Macaca fascicularis: one gene and its partners. The protein of the gene in region 6 interacts with the protein of the main gene of each other region in a pairwise test. Links are inferred from orthologs where the notes say so. Each region holds a gene or a part of one and is shown on either strand. Other genes may lie near its edges.

Evidence for each region.
Region 1: the proteins of NUP62 (region 6) and HSF2 interact in binary tests that used the Homo sapiens proteins (3 or more experiments, as listed by UniProt). The link is inferred for Macaca fascicularis from reciprocal best matches to the Homo sapiens genes NUP62 and HSF2.
Region 2: the proteins of NUP62 (region 6) and CRCT1 interact in binary tests that used the Homo sapiens proteins (3 or more experiments, as listed by UniProt). The two-hybrid records come from large-scale screens. The link is inferred for Macaca fascicularis from reciprocal best matches to the Homo sapiens genes NUP62 and CRCT1.
Region 3: the proteins of NUP62 (region 6) and FABP3 interact in binary tests that used the Homo sapiens proteins (3 or more experiments, as listed by UniProt). The two-hybrid records come from large-scale screens. The link is inferred for Macaca fascicularis from reciprocal best matches to the Homo sapiens genes NUP62 and FABP3.
Region 4: the proteins of NUP62 (region 6) and KRT20 interact in binary tests that used the Homo sapiens proteins (3 or more experiments, as listed by UniProt). The two-hybrid records come from large-scale screens. The link is inferred for Macaca fascicularis from reciprocal best matches to the Homo sapiens genes NUP62 and KRT20.
Region 5: the proteins of NUP62 (region 6) and KANSL1 interact in binary tests that used the Homo sapiens proteins (3 or more experiments, as listed by UniProt). The two-hybrid records come from large-scale screens. The link is inferred for Macaca fascicularis from reciprocal best matches to the Homo sapiens genes NUP62 and KANSL1.
Region 7: the proteins of NUP62 (region 6) and ABI2 interact in binary tests that used the Homo sapiens proteins (3 or more experiments, as listed by UniProt). The link is inferred for Macaca fascicularis from reciprocal best matches to the Homo sapiens genes NUP62 and ABI2.

The regions. Positions count from the first base shown.
Region 1 is NC_088378.1:26,360,065-26,364,952, reverse strand, and holds the start of HSF2 (heat shock factor protein 2), read right to left. Parts: upstream 3,229-4,888; 5' UTR 3,126-3,228; coding exon 3,033-3,125; intron 443-3,032; exon of another isoform or gene 257-442; intron 1-256. UniProt on the Homo sapiens protein: DNA-binding protein that specifically binds heat shock promoter elements (HSE) and activates transcription. In higher eukaryotes, HSF is unable to bind to the HSE unless the cells are heat shocked.
Region 2 is NC_088375.1:108,650,961-108,653,948, forward strand, and holds CRCT1 (cysteine-rich C-terminal protein 1), read right to left. Parts: upstream 1,638-2,988; 5' UTR 1,615-1,637; coding exon 1,300-1,614; 3' UTR 998-1,299; downstream 1-997.
Region 3 is NC_088375.1:203,636,291-203,641,161, forward strand, and holds the start of FABP3 (fatty acid-binding protein, heart), read left to right. Parts: upstream 1-1,730; 5' UTR 1,731-1,792; coding exon 1,793-1,865; intron 1,866-4,871. UniProt on the Homo sapiens protein: FABPs are thought to play a role in the intracellular transport of long-chain fatty acids and their acyl-CoA esters.
Region 4 is NC_088390.1:61,961,248-61,965,399, forward strand, and holds the end of KRT20 (keratin, type I cytoskeletal 20), read right to left. Parts: intron 3,636-4,152; coding exon 3,415-3,635; intron 2,696-3,414; coding exon 2,658-2,695; intron 1,738-2,657; coding exon 1,640-1,737; 3' UTR 962-1,639; downstream 1-961. UniProt on the Homo sapiens protein: Plays a significant role in maintaining keratin filament organization in intestinal epithelia. When phosphorylated, plays a role in the secretion of mucin in the small intestine.
Region 5 is NC_088390.1:67,749,674-67,753,825, forward strand, and holds part of KANSL1 (KAT8 regulatory NSL complex subunit 1), read right to left. Parts: intron 1,767-4,152; 5' UTR 1,672-1,766; coding exon 383-1,671; intron 1-382. UniProt on the Homo sapiens protein: Non-catalytic component of the NSL histone acetyltransferase complex, a multiprotein complex that mediates histone H4 acetylation at 'Lys-5'- and 'Lys-8' (H4K5ac and H4K8ac) at transcription start sites and promotes transcription initiation.
Region 6 is NC_088393.1:57,892,794-57,896,499, forward strand, and holds part of NUP62 (nuclear pore glycoprotein p62), read right to left. Parts: intron 989-3,706; 5' UTR 912-988; coding exon 1-911. UniProt on the Homo sapiens protein: Essential component of the nuclear pore complex. The N-terminal is probably involved in nucleocytoplasmic transport.
Region 7 is NC_088386.1:99,290,360-99,294,511, reverse strand, and holds part of ABI2 (abl interactor 2), read right to left. Parts: intron 3,315-4,152; coding exon 3,132-3,314; intron 1-3,131. UniProt on the Homo sapiens protein: Regulator of actin cytoskeleton dynamics underlying cell motility and adhesion. Functions as a component of the WAVE complex, which activates actin nucleating machinery Arp2/3 to drive lamellipodia formation.

The DNA of each region.
Region 1 (4,888 bases), on a different chromosome or scaffold from region 6:
TGAGAGTACCTGGGCACCTGTGGCTCACACCTGTAATCTCAACACTTTGGGAGGCCAAGACAGGCGGATCACGTGAGGTCAGCAGTTTGAGACTGCCTGGCCACCATGGTGAAATACCCTCTCTACTAAAAACACAAAAATTAGCCAGGCATGGTGGTGTGCATCTGTAATCACAACTACTCAAGAGGCTAAGGCAGAAGAATCGTTTGAGCCCAGGAGGCAGAGGTTGCAGGGAGCTGAGATCGTGCCACTGTACTCTAGGGTGACAGAGTGATACTCTACTACAAAAAAAAAAAAAAAAAAAAAAAAAAAGAATGTGATATAATCTCTGCCACTTAGAAATTCAAAGCCTGCTGAGGACTATTATATCATCGTTCCTACCACTCTCATTACATTTTCTAGGGATTTCATTTATTCATCAAAGAAAAGAGAAAGATGAAAGTAACTTATTTTGGTTTTTCCACCTAACATTATTGTTAAAGTTTTACTTTTCAGTGTTAGCACTGCTTTTAGAAAAATTAATGGAGAGCACGAGTGAGACAACTAAGCAACTAGGCTTAGCCCTAGACAACATTTATTCAGAATTGTCCACTGACTTGTGGCAAGCAACATTTTGGTATAAAACTAAATATGATGTCAACTTGTATTGTCTAGTTCTATTGGTGGAAGACTGATCTGGGAGCTCAGAAATCTATTAGGGTGGGGGCGTCCAATCTTTGGATTTTCCTGGGCAGCACTGGAAGAATTGTTTTGGGCCACACATAAAATACACTAACACTAATGATAACTGATGAGCTTAAAAGCAAAACTGCAAAAATATCTCATATTTCTTTAAGAAACTTTATGAATTTGTGTTGGAACGCATTCAAACCCATCCTTGGCCACATGTGGGCTTCGGGTTGGACTAGCTTATGTTAGAGTCTCATCTCCAATCTTGGCGAGCTGTATAATTATGGATAAATAATCTCACCTGTCCAAGCCTCAAATCCTCATCTATACAATGATGAGGCTAACCTAGATGATCTCTAAGATTCATTTCAAACATAATTTTACCTTCATCATTCCTACCACTCCATTACATTTTCGAGGGATCTCATTTATTCATCAATTATTAAACATCTACTGTGTCTCCGCCACAGTGATCTCACTGAGCTTACATTTTGATTGTCCCATAGGCATATTAGAAAATTAGTTAACACATAAGCTTAAAGTTAGTAATGGGATTAAAAAATGGTTAAGTGGCTTATTTGGCTTAGAACTCACAGAATGATGCATTTGTGGATCAGTACAAAACTCTCCACATTTGACACTGCTCAGAAAATAAGAATGCTATTAAAACAGTTACTAATCAGAATTTAACAGGCCTACGACTGGCATGATACTCTTATTAAAAGCAACTGCCAATATATATGGCCCCTATTTCTGGCCTGTAAAAGACAAAAAGGTATGATAAAGTCAGCTTTCGTGGGGAGAGAATCTCAGTCCGATCTCTAACACGAATACATGTCTGAATGACAGTCTGTGCTGACCCTTCTTGTCAACTTTTAATCCTTCTAACTGATGAAAAGCATGAGACATGTGTTTATTTTAAGTACATGCTAGTGGCTGGCTTTCTTATTTTCACCTAGCTTTGTACAATTGTACAGAACTCATTAAATTCTTAATACACTCACACAATGCCCCCGCCCCACCACCTCCCCGCACTCAACTCCAAGCAGGGAGTGGGGCTAAAAGGATAACTCAGTTGCTCATAAGGAACACACAAAAATTAAACCCTAGAAGGAAGTTAGAAAAAAGAACAAATAATAACACAAGGCAAACTATGGTATTACAGTAGTCAAAACTTCAGGGTCTTAATATGGTGCTCACTCCCTGTTAAGATAAAAGTAAATAAAACTGAGAGTTCCTATAATAGGAGGAGAACAGGAAAGAAAGGAGGACGGGAGATAACATTTACTCAGCACTTAACAGGTGCCAGGCACTATGCAGGTAGTTTTCACTTACTCTTCTCAAGAACTACACACATGAAAATATGCCTCAATAGGTGATCATCTACAATAAGGGTTAACCACTTCCCTTCATAAAATGATTCCAACAGCCTAGGATTGTATTCTAATGTAAAGGTAGTGTGGATGTAAATAATCATTCTGCCTAGAATCTTGTATTTGGAACTGAAAGAGGTCTTGGGTCACCTAGGCAACCCATCCATCTTACGGATTTAACTTAGGCCAGACAAGAAAAGGGGCTGGACTAAGGTCATCCTTGTTTACAAGCAGAGTTGAGATCAGACCAATAATCAACACATCGATATGCCCCTCTGCTGGTAACAGTTCAGTGAAATTTAGTAACTACTAAGTTACTGACCACCTATTAGTACTTTATTAAAACAATCCTAATAATCCGACTATACAAATAGCACAGAATCTCGAAAGAATGTGTTAATTTCTATATATTTTTAAAACCAACTGATAAGCAGTAATCTGCGTTTGAATATATATTTCCCTGACTGCTCTCCACATAAAGATCCCAGATGCAAAGCAGTGTTGGGGGAACGGGGAGGGGGTGATCGGTCGCTGAGGTAAAGATCGCCTCCTGTAAAGCCCCAGGTCGATGATCCTGGCCCTGGACTCCCCGTCCCCTCCGCGATTTGTAACCCCTGAGCCGGGCAGGAGGACAGAGGATGAGTGTGCAGTAAAGAGGCTCCCGCGCCCTCGGCTCGCCGATTCCCCTCGCGACGCCGGGCCGGTTCCGAACGCGGACCAGACCGTTAAGGGGCTGCCAGGGCCGCTACGCCCCGCGCGGGCCGCCCCTCCCCCACCGCGGCCTGAGGCGAGCGGCGCTGCCGGCCGGGCCCCCGCGGCTCCCCTAGCGAACAATACAGGGGGTCCCCCGCGAGGCCGAACACCAAGGCCCCGCACCGCTGGCCTCGCAGGCAGCGTCGAGCCGCAAGGCCGCGAGAGACCACCCCGCGGGAGAGCGAGTGAGGACGCGGTTATTCAGGGGGTGCAGAGGCCGCCGTGGCCTGACCGTACCTGGCTCCAGGTGATGAACTCGTTAGTGTGGGTTTCCTCCACAAGCGTCCACAGCTTGCTGAGGAAAGCCGGCACGTTCGAACTCTGCTTCATTGTTAACGCGGCGCAGGGATTCCAAATTCTAGACCCGAACGCGGTGGTAGCGGCGGCAGCAGCTCAGGCAGCAGCTCCCCGAGAACGCCCACAACGCAGGCGCAGCAGATCTTGGTCCCCGCCCCCCAACCCCGCCAGGCGCGCGGCGAGGCAGAGAGGCCGGGCGGCCGCACGTGACGGACAAGTCCCCGCGCTCCGCCTGTGCGCGCAGTGGTTCCGCGCCGGTCCCGTCCCTGGCCAATCCCAGGGGCCGACCACACGATGGAGAAAAGCGATTGGCTGCTGCTGACATGAAGGGGGTGGGAGCAGAAGGGGGTGGGAGCAGAAGGGGGCGCTGCCTTCTCATTTGCCTTTTATACAGAAGCTTTGATGGTAGCGGATCTTCGGCTTGGGAGACCGTGTTTGGACGTTTCACGTGGAAACAGCTTATGGTTTCTGGGCTGTGGCTGGGAGGCTACAAAAAGCCCTTCGGGGCCTTTGAGTCATAAGTTTGGCAGGCAAAGTGTGGTTTGCACCAGTTTAGAGAAGATCCATTCGCAGAAGGAAAAAACCAGCTCTCAAGCGTGATGTGCTAGGCCCCGAATTGAAATTGTCTTAAAAATAATGAACCTTGTTCTTACATTATCATTGGGAGAAAAAGCCCTCTTTAAAATATGTTTATCAAAAAGAGCAGTTTAAATAACTCACTGTCTATTACTTAAAACTGTAAACCAGGAACTGCAATTGATGTATCATGTGCTGTTTTTAATCCAGTCATCAAGTGCATACTCTACACCCAGAATAAAAAGAAATAGACTGTTTATACTATTTTAGTTAATTAAAATAGTTGTTCCTGCGTATACTTTACAGATACATTCTTTTTAGCCTGAGAGATTGGTATAATGAAAAAAAAAATGGAGAAGGAGTCAGTAGATCTGAGTTTAGATAAAGCCTCTTGAACGTTTTTCTGTATATTAAAATACACTGGTACTGTCACTTAGAGCAATTCCTTAGCCACCAGTGCCACTTTTTCCCATTTCTTGATTGGGAATAAGATCTTTTTACCCATTAAGAGTGTCTTTAATGCTATAATGGCTGTGCAAATGCTTTGAAAATATGAAGTCTACAAAATTCGACTTTTTTTTTTTTTTTTTTTTTTACAGAGGTCAGCATGTGAAGGTAAAAACAAACAAGTCAGAGCCAACACATTATACAAAAATTCAACATAGGATTGGTTTACTTCTTGGGTAAATGTAAAATAGTACATTAAAAATACATATATAGAGAGGGTATCTTCCAATGAGCAAATATTTATTGAATGCTGCCTTTGTGTTCAGCACTGGGATGTTGGCTGAAGCAAAATCAGATATATGGAGGCATACATGTGATAGAGGAACTAGTATTTGATGAGCCCTTATATATGCCAAGGGCTTTACATATATTATTGAATCCTCACAACAATCCAATGAATTAGGTTTTATTATCCCTTTTTCCCAGTGAAGATTCTGAGACTCAAAAGTTGATTAATGTCCCCAGTCACAGCAAGTAAATGGGAGAGAGACTTTACACCCAAGCTTTATTGAGCTCAAAAGTATGTGCCCTTTCCATTGTACAATGATGACACTGTTTCAAAGCTCAAGATGCTTATATTCAAACTCGAGAAACAACATGACCACAGTGATCAGCACTCATTAATATATATAAAAAGAGCTAAATATTTGGTATAAAATAAGTACTAGGTGAGTTTAAAAAGACAGACTAGTAGGTTAAGGTGATAAGGAAAG
Region 2 (2,988 bases), on a different chromosome or scaffold from region 6:
AAGTGAGATAATATATGTAAAGTGCCTTGACTTGTACTTGAAATAAAGTTAGTGCCAAATAAATGGTAACTAGTGTTTCTATTATTATCACCATGATTATCTCTTCCCTCTGAACCCAGCAGAGGATATTGTTCTCCTGTTTCCTGGTGCGTGAAATGAGCGGATAAAACCTCTGCCCACAGGGATAGGTTTCTGACCTATGCAAAATGACCCACCCATTGCCGCTGCCACAGCCACCATCTCTAAAGAATGAGATCCCCACGTTTCTGAGCACACATGTTGCACCACAGAGACTCCCAGAAACCCGTGGCTCTTGGTCCTGCTTCAGCTGCACAAATGAGACCTGGAGAGGGTAGTTTCCAGCTTTCCTGGAAGGCACATCTTAGGAAAAATTTCCTCCCCAGCAAGCAAAGCAGTAGGTCAATAATCTTCCACGCCAAAAATAAAAAATAAAATAAAACGTAAAACTAAAAAATAAAAAAAGACAGCTGGCTTGATTCCAAAGCCCCCAAGAGTTGCCAAAACACACTTTTGCCACACAGCTGCCTGAACCCGGTGGTCAGGAGGAGCACCTCGGTGGTAAGGCTTGGGAAGCCCAGGTGAGGACCCAGCAGAGCAATGAAGCCTTGGAATCAGATGTCCTGTCTTCTTTATCAGGCGTCAGCTGGGTGACTTTGAACAAATTATACTTAACCTCAGTTTCTCTTGTAAAAAGGGTATAACAGCACTCTCCTACACGAGTCATTATGAGAATCAGATTGTGCCACATAAAGTCCTGAGAATACTCAAGAGCTTTGTCACGTAAAGTCATTAAAATCCTCGAAACAGTCGATATCTGATCGCTGCTATCATAATTAACAATCAGAAAGTCATCTTTTTGTTCAGGCATGAATTATACTATTCTGCCTTTCACAAACATTTCAAGTCTTTCTACCTGGGCGGAGAAACGAATGAAGAACAAATAAGAAAAAGTGTTCTAAGGAGGTAGAAGCTTTATTATGACATCTTCAAAAGACAATCAAATCATTAGGCATTTACTGAGCACCTGCTGTGTGCAAACCCGTGCAGACAGTAGGGTCCAGTGTTCCACGCATGGTTCGTGAATCCCTGGGGAGAAAAATCACATCGGAGTCAGGGAGTTTTGCGTGGCTGAGAACAAAGTGGGTTTCTGAACATCAAAGTGCAATTCGCTTTACGGGGCAAACTGCGAGGCCCAGCCCCGCGTGGGAGCCGCAGCGGGGCGGGCTCGCTCTGGGTTGGGCGGGTTTCTCTAGCGCAGCGCTGGGGGCTGCGGGTCTCTCAGCAGCCAGAGCAGCAGCCTGAGCTCTGGTTGTTGGAGCGCTGGGACCTCTGGCTGCCGCCCCCGCAGCAGCAGCAGCCACTACTCCGCTGCCGGCGGCGTCTCCTTGGGAAGCAGCAGCAACTGGTGGAGCTGGAGCCGCAGCAGCCCGAGTCGCCGCAGCAGCCGCCGCCGGAGCCGCAGCAGCCGCCGCCGCAGCAAGAGGAGGAGGAGGCGGGCGCCGGGGTGGGCGCAGGGGCAGGACACGGAGCGGGGCCCTGGGATGACCCCTTGGAAAAGCCTTTGGCGGAAGCGGCGCTCTGTTGAGAGGACATCGCGGAGCTCCTCACGACGAACCTGGAAGAAAGGCAGCCTTTTAAAGGCGAGCCGGCTTTTTCTTTCCACCAGTGGAACTCTGTCTAGGCTTTTGAGATTCGGTTTAGTGTACAAGTCAGCCCGGCCTGGGACAAGGGGGGAAAAGTACCCAGAAAGAGCGGGACATAGAAAAGCAAATCCAAGCAGGGGCTTCCAGTGAGTTAAACATGCTCAGAGCAGGACACAATCTATGCAATGAATCAGTGCATTTCCATTTTCTCTGACTAGAAGAAGACTGCTCAAGTTCTCCACAGTGGAAAATAGACAGCACACTGCGGCAGCTTATCTGTATGATCCAGTCCAAAATCTCCACTTGGCTTTTTTCCTCTTCCTCATTTTACTTTCCTACCGACCTTCGATTTGTATCTTCCTAGTTACTACACCCCATCATTTAGAAAACACCCAAGTCCAACACGCGGTCCCACCTGCTGGATCTAAATAATCCACATGCCAGAAGCAGGTCCTGATCATTCTTTCTTGCCTATGCCTCTCACGCCCCACAACCATGTGGGAAAGGAGAGTTGTGCCAATATAAATAACCCCATCCAGGGAGCTGAAAGACCTGGGTTCTAGTCACAGCTCTTCTGTGGACTTGCTGTGTACCCTTGCAAAAGCCACCTCCTGTGTTGCCTTCATGTCCTCATTAGTACCTTAAGAGGTTGGCTCACTGGAAGCTTAGGTGCCTTGTAGGACACCCCTTCCGCATCTATCTGCTGCCTGTGTTCTGTTTTCTCCTCCGCTGTGCCCTCAACTCATCCCACCCTCTCCCCGAGACCCTGCGAGGAGACTTACCGGACCCTGGCTCCACTGAAAGACTCACTACGTTCTCAGGCTGGAATGGGCCACCTGCTAGGCAGTGGATTGAGCAGTGTCCAGCCAGAGAACCTTTTTATAACAAGTATTCAGGTTCAGGCTCTTGGGAGGGGCCCATTTCCCAACAGACATGCTCAGCTGACACTCACATCCCAGAGACATTCATCACTCAGGTAGCGCTGTAGGTGGTGCACGTGAGCATCTAAGTCACTTCACAGAGGTGCCAGGATTGCTATGGCATGTTTACTTTCCAAGCAGAGCACTGTTGGTACCTGGGAGGCTGTGTGTATGCTAAGAGAAGGCATGGAGCTCAAATGCAGGGAGGTCTGGAACCCCTTGTGCCCTTGTCTTCAGTGTACACAGACACGCACACACACACACACGGCTCAACTTGCCCACACATCAATTCCTGTGTAGTCATCTACTTGGTAGGTGGTAGTTCACCTATTTTTATCTTGATTCTCATCTCTCTGGCTCTTGGTCCTTGGCTCCCCAGGGCAGACCACAAGCTATGCAATAAG
Region 3 (4,871 bases), on a different chromosome or scaffold from region 6:
ACAGAGTCCCAGGAAGAAGGGCCTGCCATACTATACGCACGTGGCAGGCTTAGGGCTCCTGTGTTGGCTTCTGCAGGCCCACCCTGGACAGGCTGCTGCTGGCTGAAATTCAGTTCGGCACTACTCCTTGATGTGCAGAGCCTCCTGCCATCCCTCAGAAACTCATTTATTCCTCACTTCCTCCGAGAGGCCTACATTGGGCCCCCAGGTCAGGACAGGACAGGATTCCCTTTAGAACCACCACACTAGTTTTGTGTCTGGCTGCCCAGAGGTGTGTGTCTTGTTCCCTGTTGTCTCTCTCCAAAGCAGGGCCTGACACAAAGTAGATGCTTTATTAACTGCTGAATTAATGAGTGAGCTCCTCAGAGATTCAACATGTTCATCTTTTTAAAAAGAGAAAATAACACAGTAACACCTACATCATGGATTTTGCTTTAAAAGTTCAATGAGGCCAGGTGTGGTGGCGTGTGCCTATAGTCCCAGCTACTGGGGAGGCTAAGGTGGGAGGATCCCTTGAGCCCAGGAGTTTGAGGCTGCAGTGACCTATGATGGCGTCACAGCACTCCAGCCTAGGGGACACAGCGAGAGACCTTGTTTCTAAAAAATAATAATAAAATTAAAAGTTCAATGAAATAATACACCTAAAGCCCTCAGCATGCAATAAAGAGCAATACAAGGCGGGTCTTATTTTTACTGAAAGTGCTTAGTAAACTATACAGTGACAAACCACGCACAGCAGGCTCTCAAAAGGAGGCAGCAAATTACCCAAAAGTGCAGGCGGCTTGCTAGTGTGCACAGGTCAAAGAAAGGGCGGCAGGTGGGGAAGGCAGCCGTGGGCCCTGAAGAGCTGACCGAATTGGCAGAATTTCTGAAGGAGGGGAACTGGGAACGACCTGAGCTAAAGCTCGGAGCTGTGAGAAGAAACCGGAAAAGCCCGGAGCACTTGCAGGGGCGGGTGGGGAGTTGGATGGTGGTGTGGGGTAGGGTGGGGAGGGAGGAGGGCTAGTAGGAGACATTCCGCAGGGAGGGGCAAGCACGTGTGAGGCGGGCGGGGCGCGAAGGGTCAGGCTTTTGCTCAAAACAGGCGGAGGACAAGGTCAGCTCAGCCGCAGACCGAGCCCCTGCTGATTGTCTCCGCCACCGGGCAGTGAGAGTGAAGGGAGAGCGCGAGCTCTGAAGCCTGCTAGACCAAGCTTGCAATCTGAGCCCCATTCACCCCCTCCTATTTCTTGAGACCATGTCAGTTCCCCTCTCAGCCTCGGGCTCCTCACTTGTAAAACGAGGAGAGATGCCTGTGCCAGAAGTCAACCAGAGTTTTTCTCGGCATGGGCACCAGCCCAAGGGCGTTTTCCTTTTCTAGTCTCATCTCTGCTCTGAACCCAAGCTCAAAGAGGGACTGGGGGACGGAAGATATCCATGCCATGCGCCCTAGCTCTCGGGCTGGTGCCGGCTGCTGCCTTCTCAGATTCCAGAGTGCCTAGAGGCCAGGAAAGGGAGAAGGTCCTGCCAGACTAGGGTAGGGACTCGGGGGCCAGGCACTGGCGCTGACGCAGGCAAGCAGGGCGCCACTGGCTGGTCCCCACCCACCTCAGTGGGTTGGGGGATGGGCGGACCAGCCCCTCCTGGGTGAGCCCTAGCCTGGGGCTTCCTATTTCGGGAGCTGGGGGCGTGGGCCACGTCTCCTCATGTGATGCGAGGGCTATTTAAAGCGGCAGCCCGGCCAGGGAGCCGCCGTCGGAGCCCTTGCACGCCTGCTCTCTTGTAGCTTTTCTCAGCCTAGCCCAGCATCACTATGGTGGACGCTTTCCTGGGCACCTGGAAGCTAGTGGACAGCAAGAATTTCGATGACTACATGAAGTCAATCGGTGAGCAAGCCGCGGGGCTCAGGATGCTGGCTTGGGCTGGTAGCATGCCTAGCCCCATGCAGCACTCCTGCTGCATCCCTCCTGGTTAAGACTGGGGAATACGGGAGCGCGGAGATGGCAGCCTGGGCTAGGGCAGATAGGGCCTGTAGGGAGGGGGCTTTGGTGGTCCAAATCTGGTTAGAGACCACGGTAGGGAGGTGGAGGAAGGAGGCAGCTGTGTGGGAGGCTCTTTCTAGGAAGAGGGATATATGAATTGGAGGAAGGAGGACGGTTTGGAAAAAGAACACTGATCACAGGAAGGGGAGTCTAGCCAGGGGAGAAAAAGAACACGGGCATGGGTAGTTTAGAAATTGGAGGAGACTGAACCCAGAAAGGGAATGGGGCAGCTAGGGCGTGTACTATGACCTTAAACAAGTAGGAAATACCTAGGAGGAAAAAGATTAGTGGGGAAAAAACCGTGGATCAGTGAATCAGATATGAGAAGGACATAAGACAGGAACCTGCAGTAAGCAGCAATCCCCATCTCTCCATGTTGGATTTGGGGAAAGAATTGTTGTAGGAGAATGCCCTCTTTTCTCACCAGCCAGTCTGACCTTGCCCTGCAGTCTATGTAACCAGGCCTTAATCACTGTCTGCGAGCCTTGGGGTAGGGTGGGGCAAGAGGCCCATCACCAGCTGGGCCTTTCCTGCAACCCAAAGCTCACCCACCTGTGCAAGGGGTAGGCAGAGAAAGCCGTTGGACTTCTGATGTGCAGTAGAGGGTCCCAGAGCAAGGTCAAGACCTGGGAGGGAGGGTCACTGGTTTAGGAGGATGTGGAAAACTGCTGTGGTGTTGGGATGGAGAAGAATAAGGATTTAAAGAATCTTACAGGTGAGGAATTTGGAGATTCCCATACTATCTAGTTCAGCAGGGAAACTGAAACCAGGAGAGTAGAAATGTATAACAATTCCACAGCAGAGCCAATATGAAAACCTAAGGTTTCTAGATCTGTAACTCAGAGCTCTTCCCACTACCCTACAGGCCCTGGGAGTGGGAAAAGTAGGAACTGCTTAGCTAATTATTGACCTCAGCCCTTCTTCTACTGCTTTGGGCTTAGATGGAGAGGTCAAAGCTCTCAACAGCCCCTACCCTATCCTGGGCGCTATGCCCAGTAATTCCAGGTAGGCAGTCATTCTTAGAGGACCACCCCCCAACCCCCACGAACACAGCCCAGCAGCTACTGGGAAGTTGGAATGACCAGATTTAGTTCCTCCTTCTAAAGCTGGGCCAGAGCTGAGTCCTTGAACTGAGCTGCAACAACTTTACCATTCTTGTTCTCTTATTCTGCCCTAAGTTGGGTAGGCAGGCTGGTCTCCCTGAAGTCCTGTTACCTTTCAGAAGCTTCTGTTAAGGCAGCCTGCATTCTTATCGTAGGAATGGAAAGCCTGGGAAAATACCCTCCTCAGCTCTCAGTAAATAGTGCTGGCTTCATTTCTAAGTAGAACCCAGATCTCCCTGAGTCTCCTAAATTCTGTCAGCTCAATATTCTTAGTTTCTCTTGGTTCAGACCCTCACTCATACCGCAGTGGTTTCCTTTTCAAACACTCCATACCTCTGGGTAGGTCCTAAGTGAACAGAGCTCCCAGTGCTGTGACAAGGTCCTGCTCTATGCAGGGGAGCGTGATTGGCCTGACTCATCCTGATACCAAGGGGCAAGGCCAAGTTCCTCATTGGCCAAACAAAGGTGGGCTGATAGCATAATGGCAGAGGCAGCCCCTGCCCCTCCTGCTATAGACCTAGGGCTCTCAAGGGGCAAAGAGGTCCCGTCTAGTACCAGTGACCACAGGCACAACTGGTGGCCTGGACTGAGTATGTGCTGGGCAGAGTCGCCCAGTGAAAATAGTCAACAGTTTTGGAGCCTAGATTCAAATCTATGTCAGTTTATTCTGTTTGAATTTAGACAAGACACTTCACTCTCTTCATTGTAAATTGGGGATAATCTACGCTTCTGGGCTGTTACAAGCATTAAGTAAAACCCATGTAGGGCATGTGCAGAGTACCTAGCTTCCAGCAAGCACTATGTAGCCAGGTACATTTGGAGACTTTACACACACCACTTCACTACACTGGGCTGCCTCCTGCCTCACCTCTGCCTTGGAGGACAGCTCAGTGTAAACTGCTGTGGGGAGAGGGGGCAGTCATGATTAGTTCTTTGTTCTTTACTTGTTTGCAGGGCACTTAGGACTTTGCCCAGTACCCAGGGAAGCCATGCTTGGGTCAGGAAGAGAGTCTCCGTAGAGCCTTAGACAGGGAGTCAGGAGACGGGTTTGAGTCTAACTCATTGTTGCTACCGCTTTAGGCTCCTCCTCAATCTGTACAATAGTACAAATACTTCCTTTGTACCTAACTCCTAGATCATAGATAACAGGCTTTGAAAATGATGGGTTGCCATATATAAGGGACAAGAGCACTAACACTTCTTAGTTTCAGGATAAAAACTTCCAAAGTTGGAAAACTCTTATGCCTAAGGCTTTGGAAGGGAAAGTCTACGTTTCTCTTCTTTCCTCAGCCTTATGCTCTAGCCTTGGGAGGTAGTATAGCTGAGCACTTAAGCAAGCTCTGGAGTCAGACAATTCTGGGCTTCAATATCAGATTTGTGACCCTGGGCTTTACCTCTCTTTTTGCATCTGTAACGTGGAAATAGTCTTCAGAGGAACAGGAAGAACTAAATGAGATAACATGTACAGTTCTTACTACACAAAAAGTTCATAGTACTTTTTTTTTTTTTTGAGATGGAGTCTCACTCTGTCGGCCAGGCTGGAGTGCAGTGGCACAATCTCGACTCACTGCAACCTCCACCTCCTAGGTTCACGCAGTTCTCAGCCTCAACCTCCTGAGTAGCTGGAATTACAGGCACATACCACCACATCTGGCTAATTTTTTGCATTTTCAGTGGAGACAGGGTTTCACCATATTGGCCAGACTGGTCTTGAACTCCTGGCCTCATGTGATTCACCTGCCTTGGC
Region 4 (4,152 bases), on a different chromosome or scaffold from region 6:
CAAAAATTCCCAACTCTTAGAAATTATCATATATTGGCAGGTTCATATGATTCAACCTAATAGCTTCTACCTCACAGGATTATTGTGAAAATTAAATGAGAAATGCATGAAATGTTTGGCACACAGGCTCATAGTAAGTGCTCAATAAATGGTGGATATTATTATTCTTAAATGAATCATGTAAGTATTTTCTATATAATAATCAAACTCACTCCCACTTATTTACAACTTCTGTATCAAGTTTTAAGTCCAATCTATTTACTAGACTACGATGATTTAGCGCACATTGATTTTTTCCCATACACATTCATATGCAATGATTGCTCACTAAAATGCAGAAAGGGTGAGGTTACAATGTGTGTTTTTCTTTTTTTTGGATTTGGCTTCTTTCACTTAGCATATTTTCCAAGTTCATCTCTGTTATAGCATGTGTTAGTACTTCATTCCTTTTTATTGACGAATGAGATTCTATTGTGTGGATATATTACATTTTGTTTATCCATTCATCAGTTGATGGACATTTGAGGTGTTTTGCTTTGGGACTCTTATGAGTAATGCTGCTATGAACATTTGTGTATAAAAGGGCACATCATATGATCCCATTTATACGAAATGTCCAGAGTAGGCAAATCCGTAGAGAGGGGAAGTAGATTAGTGGTTGTCAGGGGCTGGGAGGAAGGGAAATGGGGGGTGACTACTAATAGGTACAAGATTTCCTTTTGGGATGATGAAATGTTCTAAAATTAGGTAGTGGTGACGGTTGCAAAATATTTTAAGCATACCAAAGACCACTGAATTGTACACATTGTAAGGGTGAATTTCATGGTGTGTGAATTATGTCTCAATAAAGCTGTTATTTTAAAAAATTTCATTAAAAATATATGTTCACCATATATTAAAAAAGAGAGCACCTGATAGTATATGCAGCTTACTATCAAAAGGAGACACATTTTGCCTTGAGAAGGGTTTTGGTAATGTTTTTAATCTATTTACATTTTAAGTATAGTGTACTTCACTCTTATTCTGCTCCGCATTTGTGATTGAATTTGACTCTCAAATTATTCAAAGAGCTGTGTAGACTTTTAAAAGGCAGTAGAAACAATGGGAAAAAGCAGAGATAGCTCAAAGGTTGTAGAGTTGTACTGATGCTGAAAAATCAATGAGATTAACCAAGAAATTGGCTCAATAAGAAACCAGGGACTCCCAAAGGGGGTTTTACAATTCAGAAACAGGAAAAAATTAGAAACCAGTTTATTTGCAATTTGCATAGATTCCTCTACTTTGTGAGGTTTAGTATAATTGAAATGTATTGCAATTTTCAGGAACATTACCTACAAATTGATATTAGGTGGTCTATAGCTTGTAATTGATGTGCTTCATGATAAAGATGGCAGTAATGATGTTTTAAATATTCTAGTGCTCATTGGATTTCATTTTTGCAGGCAATTTGCAGCTCCTCTGAGTAAAATATTTATATTCAATTACAGAGTCTGATAAATAGGATTTCCCCCACCCCACCCCTTCTAATCACTGCAAAGTATTAATAATGCTTTCTTATGGCCGATTTCTTGCAGGGAGCAGATAAGATTATAGCCTCATTTCTTTCAAAACCTAAGCAGCATCTCCTTCTGGTAGCCATTTAGATACTTTCTTCCACCTCTTTGACTTCAGATGACACGACCTTGCCATCCACTACTTCTTGCACGACTGTCTTAATCTTCCTGGTTTTCTTTATATCTGAATTCATATTAAACATTAAATGTTAATTCAGGCACATGACTCTACTGATTTATAATATTCAACTTTAAATTATTATTCTTTTTACTTATTTCCTTCTTTTAGAAAAATATGTTAAACCCATCCTCTTTCTCAAAAAATCTTAAGTCCATTTTATAAATAGATACAGAAAATGTGCTTCTCCCCAAATTTACAAATATCCTACTCTTATAAATTCAAGAAATAAATGATCTTGAATTTAAGTGGAATTCAGATTTTGTCTTGTTTTTCCTTTTCAGGATCTCAGATGTCTCAAGATAGCAATAGCACAGGCCAAGAAAATCACCCCGTTCTGAGGAGTGTGCCCAAGTTCCCACATAGAGGGTTTCTTTATGCCATGTACAAGATTTTTAGAATCCCTGGTGTCATATCTGCTGTTTTGAGAATTGGCCTTTGCTATGGTTTGAATGTGTTCCCTAGAGTTCATGTGTGGAAAACTTAATCCCCAATGTAACAGTGTTGGGAGGTGGGGCCTAGTAAGAGGTGATTAGATGATGAGGGCTCTGCCCTCATGGATGGATTAATGTGGTTACCATAGGAATGGGTTAGTTATTGTGAGAGTGGGCTAGTTATAAAAGCAAGATCAGCCTTCTTTTTCTCTCTGGCTCTCATGCACACTCTTTTGCACTTCTACTTTCTGCCATGGGATGACGCAGCAAGAAGGCCCTCACCAGATGCTGGCACCTTGATATTGGACTTTCTGGCCTCCAGAACTGTGAGCCAAGTAAACTTCTATTGTTAGTAAATTATTCAGTCTCAGGTATTCCATTACAGGAGCAGAAAACAGACTGAAACAGCCTCACTTTACTTTTTATCCATGGGAGATAGTTATTGGAAAGCAGCTGAGTGTCATAGAAAATGTGCAAAAATTTAGAACTTACCTCTCTCTTCCAGGGTGCTTAACTGGTATTCTGTAGTTCTGTTTTGTTTTGTTTTGTTTTTTTTTAATGAAAAGAAGAAAAAAGAAACAGAAAAAAGGATTATTGCTGTTTTGAAAATGGAATGCACTCTTATCTTTTATATTTCAAAGTCCAAGTGAATGTGTTTTAATGCTTTCATGTATCTTTCCCTTTTACATTGCTTGTTATTGCAAACTTGAGTGTTTTACTTTTTAACTTGAAAAATACATAGCTTTAAAACTGACCAGTTTAATATAAGCTAAGAAGTTCCTCTAATTAAAGTAACAAAATTACAATGTAAGTTTAAATCTTGTGTTCTCTTGTTGATATTCTTAGGTATGGTATCTGAAGACAGTTGCTGCTGCCACACTGATGATTCTGGCTCCCGTGGACCTCAGCAACTTATTTTCTAATTCATGAGCTCTCAATTAGAATTTCCAAAAGGCTGTTATGCCTTCAGTTATATATTAATGATGAAAATTAATATCAGCATAATCTATCATTTGGAGAATTATCTTCTAACTCAGTCCTATCACATGATCTCAAGGCTGTACTTGATATTTTGGGCGTGTGTCTACTTTTTGGTATATTTTCGTTTTGTTGGTGGTGGTGAGGTGCGTGTGAGTATAATTACTTCTGTCCTAGGGATTGCATTGGTGCTGGGTAACGAGTGACAGGGACATTAAAATAGAAGTGCATACAGACATTGACACCTATTCCTTGATTCTAAGAGCCTTACCTTACGTCTTCTCCTTCCAGAAGGCGGCGGTAAGTAGCAATTTCCTGCTCAAGCCGAGTCTTTATGTCAAGAAGGATATGGTATTCATTGTTCTGGCGTTCCATGTCACTCCGAATCTGCATCAGTTGGGCCTCCAGAGAGCTCAACAGCGACTGGAGGTTGGCTAACTGGCTGCTGTAACGGGCTTTGGTCTCCTCTAGGGTGTGCTCCAAAGACTCTTTCTATGAGCACAAGAAAAATAGGGCATTTCTTATCTAAGGACTTGATTCAAGAGATGGGTCAATTTTAATTTATTTTGAGAAGGGTCTCTGCAGTTCATCACTGTGGGCATGGTGTGTATTTCTAGCTCCATCTCCCACTCTTCCCAACTAGGCAACCTCAGCCAGCCAGCTAGGATCATTAGCTCTTGGGGTTTTTCTTTGCTTGTAGCTTTGCACCCACTGTTCTCTCAGTGCAGCACATTGTAGAATTGTTCTCAATATTTGCTTCCCCACCATGTGAAGATGTTATACCTCTCACTCCTTCATCAGACCTGGCCATGTGATCTGTGGCATTTCTCAGTTGCAGGATTAGATTCCTTTAATCCATTGACAGCTGGCTGGGTCATGTGACTCTCTTTGGTTAATGAAATGCCGGTCAAACTGACAAATGCCTTTTCTTTTTCTTTTTTTTTTTGAGACAGAGTGTTGCTCTGTTCCCCAGGCTGGAGTGCAGTAGTGCGATCTCGGCTCACTGCAA
Region 5 (4,152 bases), on a different chromosome or scaffold from region 6:
ACTGGAAACAACAAAATCTGAACAATCAGGCCATTAACTTGTCATGTCCTATATATAGTTTCAAAAGAAATCTAATTATTCACTCTTAAAGAGGTACTAGTACAATTTTACACATAAGATGTCTCCTAGTTTTTTTTCTTAATAAGACTTCAAAAGGAAATTACCACCATTTAGACTACAACACCACAACACTACAGCAAAAATATCTTCCATTTCTTCACTAACATGTATATGCACTCACCTACCTAACACCAGGGAAAAAAACAAATGGAACCTAGACACCTATGTACAAAGAATCATATTCTCTCCATGGTAGGGATTCATTCATTCTTCCCTGCGCCAACATTTCTCAAGAATGCTATCATGCATGAGGTCTACTCACAGGGGTACATGGCGCTGCTCGGGATCAGCTCTGGTCAATTCTTCCTCTTCAATATCAGACTCCCCTCCTGAACTACTGTCAGTGACATCTGAATCAAATGCTTGTTCACTGCACCTCAAGTTGGCTATGCCACTAGCTGTAAATCTCTCCAGCTCTTCTGAAATTGAATCGCTTTTCAGAAAGTTGCTAAGTCCCTCTGAAGTGGTGGTCTCACTGGCAGCTTTTCTCAAGGCAGCTTCAGCCTTTCGAGTCAGCATCAACTGGCTCCGTGGTCTCAAGGATTCCAAGTTTGGCAGTTTGCTCAAAGTCTTCTCCAAAAATCCACCCAGCTGATGTTGTATATGCCTCTCAACCTGCTTGGCTTGCACAACCTGTAAGCGCTTTTGTAATCTGCGGGCACGGCTCTCAATGTCAGCCTGTCGCCGCAGTAAAGCTGTTATCCTTGTGTCAGAATCTAAAGCACTGAAAAGAATGGAAGACAGGGGAGACTTTTTACCCTCTAATTTGACACCCCCCAAGTTAGAGCTGGAGTCTGTACCAGGTGATAACCTACTGCTTCCTTGAAGTGCCGGCTGTTCCATGGAATTGACAGAAGATTTGTTTGCAGTGCTATTATTGCTATATAAAGTTGTGTGTTCTACATCAAGGCTTCTATGTGGAAGAGTGCAATTGGTCATACCCCCCTTCAAGTCCCCAGATTCAGATCCTCCCACTTCACCCCCATGAAGAGCAGATGAAGTGAGAGCCCGTTTTCCCCCATTGAGGGAAGTGGAATTGTCATGATCAGAATGTGTTGAACTTTTAGTCAATTTCTTAGCCAACCCATTTACAGGTGCTTGTGGCAGAGCTGTTTGACCACTCGTATTCATGGTTCTAAGATTTTCTAAGGAAAACTCCAAAACTGGCTGTCTCCCCAACAGCTCAGCTCGGAGTTCATAGGACTGAGATAAGAGAGGATGAGATTTAAGGACTGTCTGCTTGCTGAAGACCCCTTGCAACTTCAAAGACTCCTTTGAGGGAACAGATGTTACATCAGAGCAGAGATAAGATGCCACCAGTGGTTGCAGCTTTCCCAAGTCTTCCTTGGTAGAATTATTTCGGAAATCTAGGCTGGGATCCTCTGCAGCAATGGCTTTTCTTTTGGTTCCGTTGGCAGCAATAAGGATGTTGGCGTTGCCGTTATTTTCGGCACTGCCAGGGGACAAGGTAGAGGACGGGGGAGCCAGTTTGAACCGGATATGGTGTGCTTCAGCTGCTGCGTCAGTGAGAGCGGGCGCCATCGCAGCCATTCAGCACAGAGAGACAGGAAGTCCAGCCTCTCCCGATGCCGAGGCCGAGGCCGAGGCCAGCTCCACGGCCCCTTACTGCCTCCCCAGAGAACAGACTAGAAGAGAAAGGAGAAAAGAATGTTAGAAATACAAGCACATTTAAAAACACATATATTTTTAACAAAAGCACTACTTGAGTGCTGTTGTCTAAACTGCCTCCAGAAAGAAAGCACTCTGGAGCTAATTGTACCAGTTATTCGAGAGACCCAAATATCTTTCAACTGAAAGAAAGGGGGAGGCAAAATCCCTGCACAAGAGAAAGAATTGCACCCTTCTTCTTGTCATTTGTTACTACAGACTGAAAGTTGCCAAAACACAAGTTCGATTCGGAGAAAATCACAGATTGTTAAAATTAAATCATCTGCATTAAAAAAAAAAAATTTTTGTTGAAATAAATGGATTTAAAGCAAGACACATCAAACTAAACAATAATTAAACAGAAAAAATTAGTATGGAATTCCCGTGTTCACAAAAAAAAGTATGCCAAATATCACAGGTCTGTGCATTTCTCTGGCCAGGGAATCCAGTTTTCATCAGCTTCTCACTTCACTAGAAGTACAGATTATACTACAGAGCTAACTGTACCTCATCTGTAATACCAACTTGTTTCATCAGTTTTCTTTTCTTTCAGATCAAAGTGCTCATCAGTATCTTCTCTACTAGCTTCTTCCTTTCAGCCTAGGAATTTACTTAAGTATCTTCTGTCCTCAGTACAGCCTCTCTCTCATATTTAATTGCCCAACATCTCTCCCTTTACCCCAAAACTTTTAAAGAATAGTATAAATAACTGTCTCTGCACTCTTCACTCTTCCATAATCTGGATTTCATCCCCTACTGCTCTGGCAAAGGTTACCAGTAATCTTATTACCAAATCCAATGGTCAAGGCTCAGTCCCCATTCTATCTGACTTCTCTGAAGCACTGGACAATACCGATATCCTTCTAATTCTTTCCTGATGTCCTTGTACTATCATCCTCTTCTCTTCCTCCTGGACCCGTAAATGTTGGTGCTGCACAAGGTCTCTTCTGCCCTCTTCTCTCTCAAAAACCACTAGTATGGTGAGGTTACCTAACCCTAAGAAAAAACTTCTGAGCTGCACTAATATTAAGATTCCCATACCTCTATGTTCCTCAAGCCACCTGAAGCTCGGAATTCACTTCCTCCTTCCAGCACACTACTCCGCATCCTGTTTCATTATCTTAGGTAATGGCACTGCTTTTATTTAGTAACCAAGCTAAAAACCCCAGTCATTTGCCTCTGTTTGATCCCCCCCCTTGATCTATGTGGTCTGGGAGTCAAAGGAAACATACGTAAACAACTAAGCCAGTTTTCTTTAAAGTGTAGTCTCTGGACTTCTGGGGATCTCACAGACTATTTTGGAGGTTCGTGAAATCAAAGGTATTTTCATAGCAATACTAGAATATTATCTGCCTTTTTCACTGTGTTGATATTTGCAATCAGAATACAAAAACAAAGGTGAACAAAACTGCTGGCACATTATTAGCACAAATCAAGGCAGAGGCACCAAACTATACCAATAGTCATTACACTCTCCACTCAGTTTTTTTTTTTTTAAGGGAGTTCCACTTAAGATGTCCTTGATGAAGCAGCAAAAATTATTAATTATCTTGAGCCTTTAGTGCATTTTTAAAAAGTATTTTTTGTGATGAAAGGGAAAGTATGCATAAAGCACTCTGCTGCTTTATGAATTCTCAGGAAAAAGTACAGTACAACTGAGTTGCAAAATGAACTAGAGCTTTGCTCATGGAACACTATTTTTACTTGGCAGAACTACTGACAAACTGATTATCTGAAACCTGCTTCACCAGCAGACATTTTCTTGCAAATGAACAAAGTGAACTTGTCACTTCAAGGAAAATCAATGATGATATATTTGCTGCCAATAATAAAATCTGATTTTTTAAAGCAAAGATTAGTGTTTTTGAAAACTGTATCAACAATCATGAACTTAAACATTTTCCCAAGATTTTATTTGGGGTGTGTGTGTGTGTGACGCAGTCTCGCTCTGCCGCCACGCTGGAGTGCAGTGGTGCAATCTCAGCTCACTGCAACCTCTGCCTCCTGGGTTCAAATGATTCTCCTGCCTCAGCCTCCCGAGTAGCTGGGACTACAGGTGTGCGCCACCACACCCGGCTATTTTTTGTATTTTCAGCAGAGACGGGGTTTCACCATTTTGGCCAGGATGGTCGTAATCTGTTGACCTCGTGATCCGCCCACCTCGGCCTTCCAAAGTGCTGGGATTATAGGTGTGAGCTGCTGCACTTGGACTTTCCCAATATTTTAAAAGCCATTTCTGATTTGACAGACTTGTGACGATACTAATGAATGTGAATTTTTGATTCCACATAATGTAATGTGTAACATTTGGAAGATCTGCGTGACCCAGTGAACAATAAAATGTCCAGTGAATGTTTAAGTGCA
Region 6 (3,706 bases):
TTGCTGGGGATCCCAGCTGGCGCCAGTGGTTTTAAATTCAAGGCAAAGCCGGTGGTGCTGCTGCTGCTGCTGGTGGCCGCGGCGGTGGCAGTGGTGGATGTTGCTGTGGAGGCGCCCGAAGCTGCTCCAGGTGCCTTTAAGCTGAAGCCCTGTGTCCCGGCAGCGGGGGCTCCCGCGGTGGTCGCAGGGGTACAGAGGGAGAGTCCGGTGGTGGCAGACGAGGTTGGAGCGGTTGCTATTGATGCAAAGAGGGTGGGCCCAGTACCGGTGGTGGTGGCTGTGGCTGTGGGAGCAGCTGGCTGCGTGACGCCTGCTGTGGTGGCTGCTGGCGTGGCCGGAGTAAAGGGCAGAGTGGCAGGTGCGGTGGGCTGGGCTGAATTCCCCGCTGAGCCAATGTTGAAACCGGAGGGCTGGGCCATGCTTCCACCAGTGAATGAGAAGCCTCCAGATGTGGTGGCTGGAGCCACAGAGGTGGTGGAGGGGCCAAACACAAAGCCAGTGGGTGCTGTGCCCTGGCTGGAGGTGACAGTGCTCGATATGGCATTAGTGAGGTTGCTGCTGCCCAGCCCAAAGCCACTGGGGTTTGCCATGGCTGGGGTGGCAGCTGTGTTGCTCAAGTTGAGCTTTGAAGCACCGATCCCTAAAGAAAATCCAGTTCCCCCCGAGGCAAGAGTTGCTGTTCCAAAAGTGAAGCCTGTTGTCTGTGTGGCCGGAGTCTGAGTGGCGAGTGAGAACAGGCCGGTGGAAGGGGTACTTGTGGTTGGTTGGGAGGGAGCCCCAAAATTAAACCCTCCAGTGCCAGAGGTGGAGAAAGAAAACCCTGTGGCAGGTGTGGTTGTCGCTGTCTTTGCAGTGCCAAATGTGAACCCACCTGTAGGGGCCCCAGTGCCTCCAAAATTAAACCCGCTCATGGCTCCGGACTCTGGTGGCGGCAGCTACTCTGGCTCCCAAAGCAAATCCGCTGGCGTCTGCGACCTCGGGAATATTTCTAAAGCAAAGGAAGTGACACTGTCAGATGGCAGTTTTGGAAAGGCAAGCCCAGTGGCATGACTGGGCACGGCTGGTTTGGAGGGTGGTGGGATGGGATTATGATACCATGCAGCAACCCCCCTTCGTCCTGTGTAACCTAAACCAGACTCTGCTACATCGAGAAGGATCCAGAAGCACAAATGCACGCTCCAGGGGTCAGGTACGAGGAGTCGGGGTGCTAGGGACGTGCATGGCCACATTCAGCACAGTGGAAAGTTCCCACTCTGGAGGATGAGGCGGGAGAACAGGACCTTGGACCCACTTCAGCCCGAGGAGATCAGATTTGAGGCACTGCCACAAGCGGGACTAGGACACAGAAGAACAGCTGTAGGACCTGCTCCCAGCGTGGGACCCAGTAAGGTTCCCTGGCTGACTCTAGCGGGGTGTGAGCGGATCAGCTCTTGCCACCCTGAGGGCCTCTCTGGACGTGAGAGAGAGAGATGGGGCAGGGAACCCAGGCTGGATGGCAGGATACGGGCTGCTGAAGGTCCCCCAGGCCCACACCTGTACTCTCTAAGAGCAGGAGAGGACGTGCCCCTCCTAACTCAGGGGAGGGTCTGAAACCCATGTGCTCAGAGCACAGATGCCCCTGGCCACAGTGACTGGCTCGAGGATAAACTGAGACCCGAGCCAGGCAATCAGAGCCTCCCCTGGGATTTTCTCCATGCTCAGAAGGCAGCTGCCTCCTTCGCCTCTAAGTGTGGTGCAGGGGATTGCACCTGGGCCACCCTTGGACACCTTCTCAACCACCTGCAGACACTGGGACATCACCGGAGACCATGAGCCCCACCAGAGATGGATGGGGTGGGGAACAGATAAAGAGCCCCCGAGAAGCCCCATGGGCCAAACATTTCCCTTCAGTCCAAACTGACTTGATGTTGGTAACGTCTAACCGAAAAATCTCCAAGTGGTGCCATCTATCAGCGGGATGGTGAGGAAAGGGTGAGAGGAAGTGCTGGATAGGGGTGTTTTTTTTCTTTTGGGAAAGGGTTTTGCTCTGTCATACCAGCTGGAATGCAGTGACATATCACAACTCACTGCAGCCTCAAGCTCCGGGGCCCAAGCGATCCTTCCACCTCAGCCTCCCAAAGTAGCTGGGACTACAGGTACATGCCACCATGCCCGGCTAATCTTTTTTATTTTTTGTAGGAACGGGATTTCACTCTGTTGCCCTGGTCTTGAACTCCTGGGCTCAAGCGATCCTCCCTCTTTGTCCTCCCAAAGTGCTAGGACTATAGGTGAGAGCCCTCCAGATGATCAGAAGCATCCTTAGAAGATCGGTTTGACTGACTGGAGAGGGAAGAAAGCTTGTGGTGGCAAGAGCAGACTGGAGTGATGCGCTTTGGAACCTGAAGACGGGAGAAAGCCAGGAGCCAGGGAAGGCAGAAGCAGCTCTAAAAGCCGGAAATGGAAAGAGGGAGGCCCTGTCTAAAAAACAAACAAACAAACAGAACGAACAAAGTCATGACTGAGAAGCCAAGTGCCTGGCCCAGAGAAACACCCACGACGTCTGTTTCCTCTTCCCTCTCTCCAGGCCAGTTTTTAAATTGCTTGGTGTCTGTCCTCAGGAAATCCCCTTCTAGCTTGAGGAAGAGGAAACCTACCTCACTACCCCCACCCCTTCCACTGCACCCTTCTGCCTTCCACAGGCCCCTAATTTTTGTTTCATCTGCTCCTCCTCCTCCACACAGCCAAGCAAGTCTGGGGAGATGACCCCAGGGCCAGCTGCATGCGCTCTGCCTTGTCCCAGCCAGCAGATCTCAATGGGCGCCCATCAGCACTGACTGGAGCATTTAAAACACCGAAGGCTGCCAGCTCCATGAAGCCAGTCTCTCCAGGGCTAGGATGCTGGCCCTGGCATTTTCATAAAGCTCTCCTGGGGGATTCTGAGAAAGGCTTCTTCAACAGGCCACAGCAAGTGCCTGAGCCCCCAGGACTGTTGGGGCCCAGCCCGGCCTGCATCCATTCCTCCCGTTGTGGGACAGAACAAAAGTCCTCACTGCTGAGCCACCTCAAGTCGGTGTGTTGTTACTGGCAGCTAAAGGCATTGGAGCAGCTACACCTACACATCTCAGTTCTCAAAAACTCAGCTTAAAAAAGCTTTTGCTATTAATAAGTTATAGCTAAAATTTCCAAGAAGAGCATTTATAAAAAGCTCTTTACAACTATGAAAAAACTACAAGGAAAACAATCTTCTGTGGGGACTTGTCTGGCTTAACGGTTCACCTTTTTTTTTTTGAGATGGGAGTCTCGCTCCGTTGCCCAGGCTGGAGTGGAATGGCACGATCTTGGCTCACTGCAACCTCCGCTTCCTGGGTTCAAGCAATTCTCCTGCCTCAGCCTCTGAGTAGCTGGGATTACAGGCACATGCCACCACACCTAGCTAATTTTGTATTTTTAATAGAGACGGGGTTTCTGCATGTTGGTCAGGCTGGTCTCAAACTCCCAGCCTCAGGTGATCCACCTGCCTCAGCCCCCCAAAGTGCTGGGATTATAGGCGTAAGCCACCACGCCCAGCCAACAGTTCACCATTTATTAAGTGCCTCGTTGGTTTCTAATACTTCAGGTGCCAGGGATCTAGTCACAATGGTGAACCCATACAAATCCAGCTCTGATCCATGCAGTTTAGATGTAATATGGCCAGGTGCAGTGGCTGACGCCTGTAATCCCAGCACTT
Region 7 (4,152 bases), on a different chromosome or scaffold from region 6:
TAAAGAGTTCTTAGATACGCCACCAAAGCACAATTCATTAAAAAAAATAATAATAATAACACTTAATAAAAATGAAGAATTTCTGCTATTTAAAATACATTTAAAAAATAAATGGGCCGGGCGCGGTGGCTCACGCCTGTAATCCCAGCACTTTGGGAGGCCGAGGCGGGCGGATCACAAGGTCAGGAGATCGAGACCACGGTGAAACCCCGTCTCTACTAAAAATACAAAAAATTAGCCGGGCGCGGTTGTGGGCGCCTGTAGTCCCAGCTACTCGGGAGGCTGAGGCAGGAGAATGGCGTGAACCCGGGAGGCGGAGCTTGCAGTGAGCTGAGATCCGGCCACTGCACTCCAGCCTGGGCGACAGAGAGAGACTCCGTCTCAAAAAAAAATAAAATAAAATAAAAAAATTAAAAAAAAATAAATGAACAGGCTGGGCCCAGTGGCTCACGCCTGTAATCCCAGCACTTTGGGAGGCCGAGGCAAGCAGATCACCTGAGGTCAGGAGTTCAAGACCAATTTGGCCAACATGGTGAAACCCCATCCCTACTAAAAATACAAAAATTAACTGGGCATGGTGGCAGGCACCTGTAATCCCAGCTACTTGGGAGGCTGGGCAGTCGCTTGAACCTGCAAGGTGGAGGTTGCGGTGAGCCGAGATCACGCCACTGCACTCCAGCCTGGATGCCAAGAGTGAAACTTTGTCCTCCCGCCGCCCCCACCCCCGCTCCCACCAAAAAAAAATAGAAAATAAGCAAACGAATCACAAAATGGAAGAAAATATTTGTAACTCATAATCTATAAAGGACATATATTTAGAAAGTAAAAGAACTCAATGATAAGAAAAAAAACCCTATTAAAAGGATGAGAAGGAGCAAAACATTTGAACAGATATTTCACCAAAGACGATATACACATGGCAAATAAGCACATGAAAAAAATGTTCAATATCATTAGTCATTATACAGCCATTTTGGAAAACAACTTGGCAGTTTCTTATAAAGTTAAAAATTTACTTATAACCCAGCAATTCTATTCCCTAGGTATTTACCTGAATGAAATAAAAACTCAAGTGCACAAAAAAACCCGTATGTACATGTTTACGGCAACTTTATTCATAAGCACTCAAAACTGGAAAAATCTAAATGTCCTCTGAGAAAGGGATAAACAAATTGTGGTACATCCCCATACAATACAACACTACTAAGCAATAAAATGTAATGAAATACTTAAACATGCAACAACATGGGTAATTCTCAAATGCATCTGGCCAAAAAAACAGATCAAAAAAGCTACATACCATATGCTTTCATTTATGTGTTATTCTTAAAAAGGCACAACTTTAGAGACAAAAAACACATCAACGGCTTACCAGGAGCTGGGAGTGGAGGGGAAGGATTGACTATAAAAAGGGGGCATGGAGGAAATTTTTGTGATGATAGGACTGTTCTATATCTTGATTGTGGTGGCAACTACGTGTCAGTACACCTTTGTCAAAACTCACAAACATACGTGGTATACAGGGTGAATTTTACTGTACATAAGTTACCCCTTAGTAAAAAGAAAAAAAATTGCTTGGTAACTCAAGATACTGTATAAAAGAGACTACCCTGATATAAATTATTAAAAGGCATTTACCTTGCTGTTTCAAAAACCACGGTTAATTATCCCCTCACACAACAAACGTTTATTTAGTGAACACTGAGCCAGGCACCTGTTACTCAACTAATACTTAATTACTAAAACATAGACTCTCAGTTGGGGGTCATTTGTCCTTTCCGATGCATTCTTTATCAAAGCCGGAGCACAAGGAGATTCCTATATTTAACTAGTTAGTTTGGCCTAACAGTTGTATCTGTATCAAAAAACAGCCCATGTTTACATTTATCTACTGCATAAAGCTTTTCTTTAAAAGTCATATAGAAGGAATCCCATAAGACACCATCCAAAATCCACTTTGGCTAAAAGTGTCTTTTAAAACATGTAAAGATCTTATATATGTTTAACATGTATAACAGCAAAGCTGAATGTAAATGCTATGAAGCTCTTTACTGGCAAGTGGAACACTATAGTGATTGATATGCTTTGAATCTGTGTCCCTGCCCAAATCTCATGTTGAACTGTAATCCCCAATGTTGGAGGTGAGGCTTGGGAGGAGGTGACTGGATCACAAGGGTGGTTTCTCATGGTTTAGGACCATCCCCCTTGGAGCTGTTCTTGCAATAATGAGATCTGGTTGTTTAAGTGTGTAGCACCTCCCACTTTGTCCTCTTGCTCCTACTCTGGCCATGTGACCAGTGTGCTTCCCCTCTGCTTCAGGCCATGAGTGTAAGTTTCCTGAGGCCTCCTCAGAAGCCGAGCAGATGCCAGTATCATGCTTCCTGTACAACCTGAAGAACCGTTAGCCAATTAAACCTCTTTTCTGCATAAATTACCCAGTCTCAGGTATTTATAGCATTGTGAGAACAGACTAATACAGTGATATATGTCCAAACACATATATTTTATAGCAGATAAGAACCTGTTTACTAGCCAGCATCATTAACTGTACAAATACATTTTGTAGCAATTGAGTCTATCTCCTCCCCAATCAAAACAGATTTTAGATTGCAATTTTAAAACACTAGCCAACTTAGATAAACCTGAAATTCTTTACAAGTACATTGTCTATGAGTTTCCAATGCTGCTATAATAAGCAACAGATTCTGTTAAAAACAGACTTACAGAGGCTTTCCATTTGTTGTATCAAATATTTCCTATAAAATATACCTTAGAATTATTATAATAGACTTTTGTTAATCATTTAACCTGTAATAAAAATATTTCTAATGACAATTTCCAAAAACTGTACATAAGGTAGCTCCACATTAAACTTAAAAATCTCTAATAAATGAAATTCAAGCAATAAAAGAACATAAATTTATGCTACCCTATTGGAAAAATGTATGAGAAACTTTACCTCAATTTTCTCAGGAAATGCTAATCTCTGGTCACAGACTTTCTTAGTACATTATTCTTATTTTTTTTAATACGAAGTACAATCAAACCAAAAACAAAAAAAAATCAAAGGTGCAAGTAAGAGAATAGCCAGATGACTGGATCTGCCTGCCAATTAATAAGCAAATACTTACCTGTAGGGGGAGTGGAAGAAACAACAGGGGGAGTTGGAGAAGTGAAGCCATCAGCAAGGGTCTGGGCACCCCCAGCAGCAGCGTCTGGGGCAGTGGAGGAAGGGACAGTAGCAGGAACAAGAGGGGCAGGGGCAGATGCAGAAGTAGCAGGAAGGGGAGGAGTGCCAGCAGAGCCAGCAGGGGCTGAGGGGAAAGAGGAGTAAGAGGCAGCATTAATGAGGCAATCATATGAGGCAGGATTAGAAAAGGTATTAGAGTATTTAATGTTAGATATTCAGTGCTTAACACTAACCAAAGAATAGAGTTGAAAAAAAGAATAAAACTTATGTTAAAGGATGTCTATATAAGCAGCAAATAATTCAAGACGCTCAGGGTAACGTACAGATTTTTTCAATTCATTAAAAACAAACATTCCTTTTTATTTGAAAGCACTACTCCAGAAGAAAAGTGTTCCCTTCATATTGTTATTTTTAGCATAACATTCCGTATATAGTATACAAAACTAACATAATACACTAAAAAGCAACAGTTTTCCATTTTGAATTAGACAAATCAGAAAATAGACATATTCCAGATATCAGGCAAAAAAAAAAGTTTTTTTAAAACACAAACCTTTACGATTTTTAAAAGGCATTATCTACTTGTTACTATAAGTAACTAAGTATGTAACATTCTATTAATGTATTTTGTGTCATGTTTTTAAAACTAAGTTTTAAGTGTGTATCTCCTCGAATCAAATAAGCAACTTTTCAGTTTCAGAGAAAAGAGGGTAGCATTTTCAGAGACTACTAAATTCCAATACGTCCACTAAATTTAACTGTCAAAACTACTTTTCATTATCTGCCCAATCTTCTGTTACTAATATGATTCTCACACTCAGTTCCCACTGTGTCCGAAGACTGCACTGTCATAACACTAGCTGGAATTAAACTTGTAACTCATAACAAAGTGTGATCTGAAACCTCAAAGCGGCAACTGAGCCACATCACCAAAGGCATAAAGAGAAGTGCAAACTGAGCAA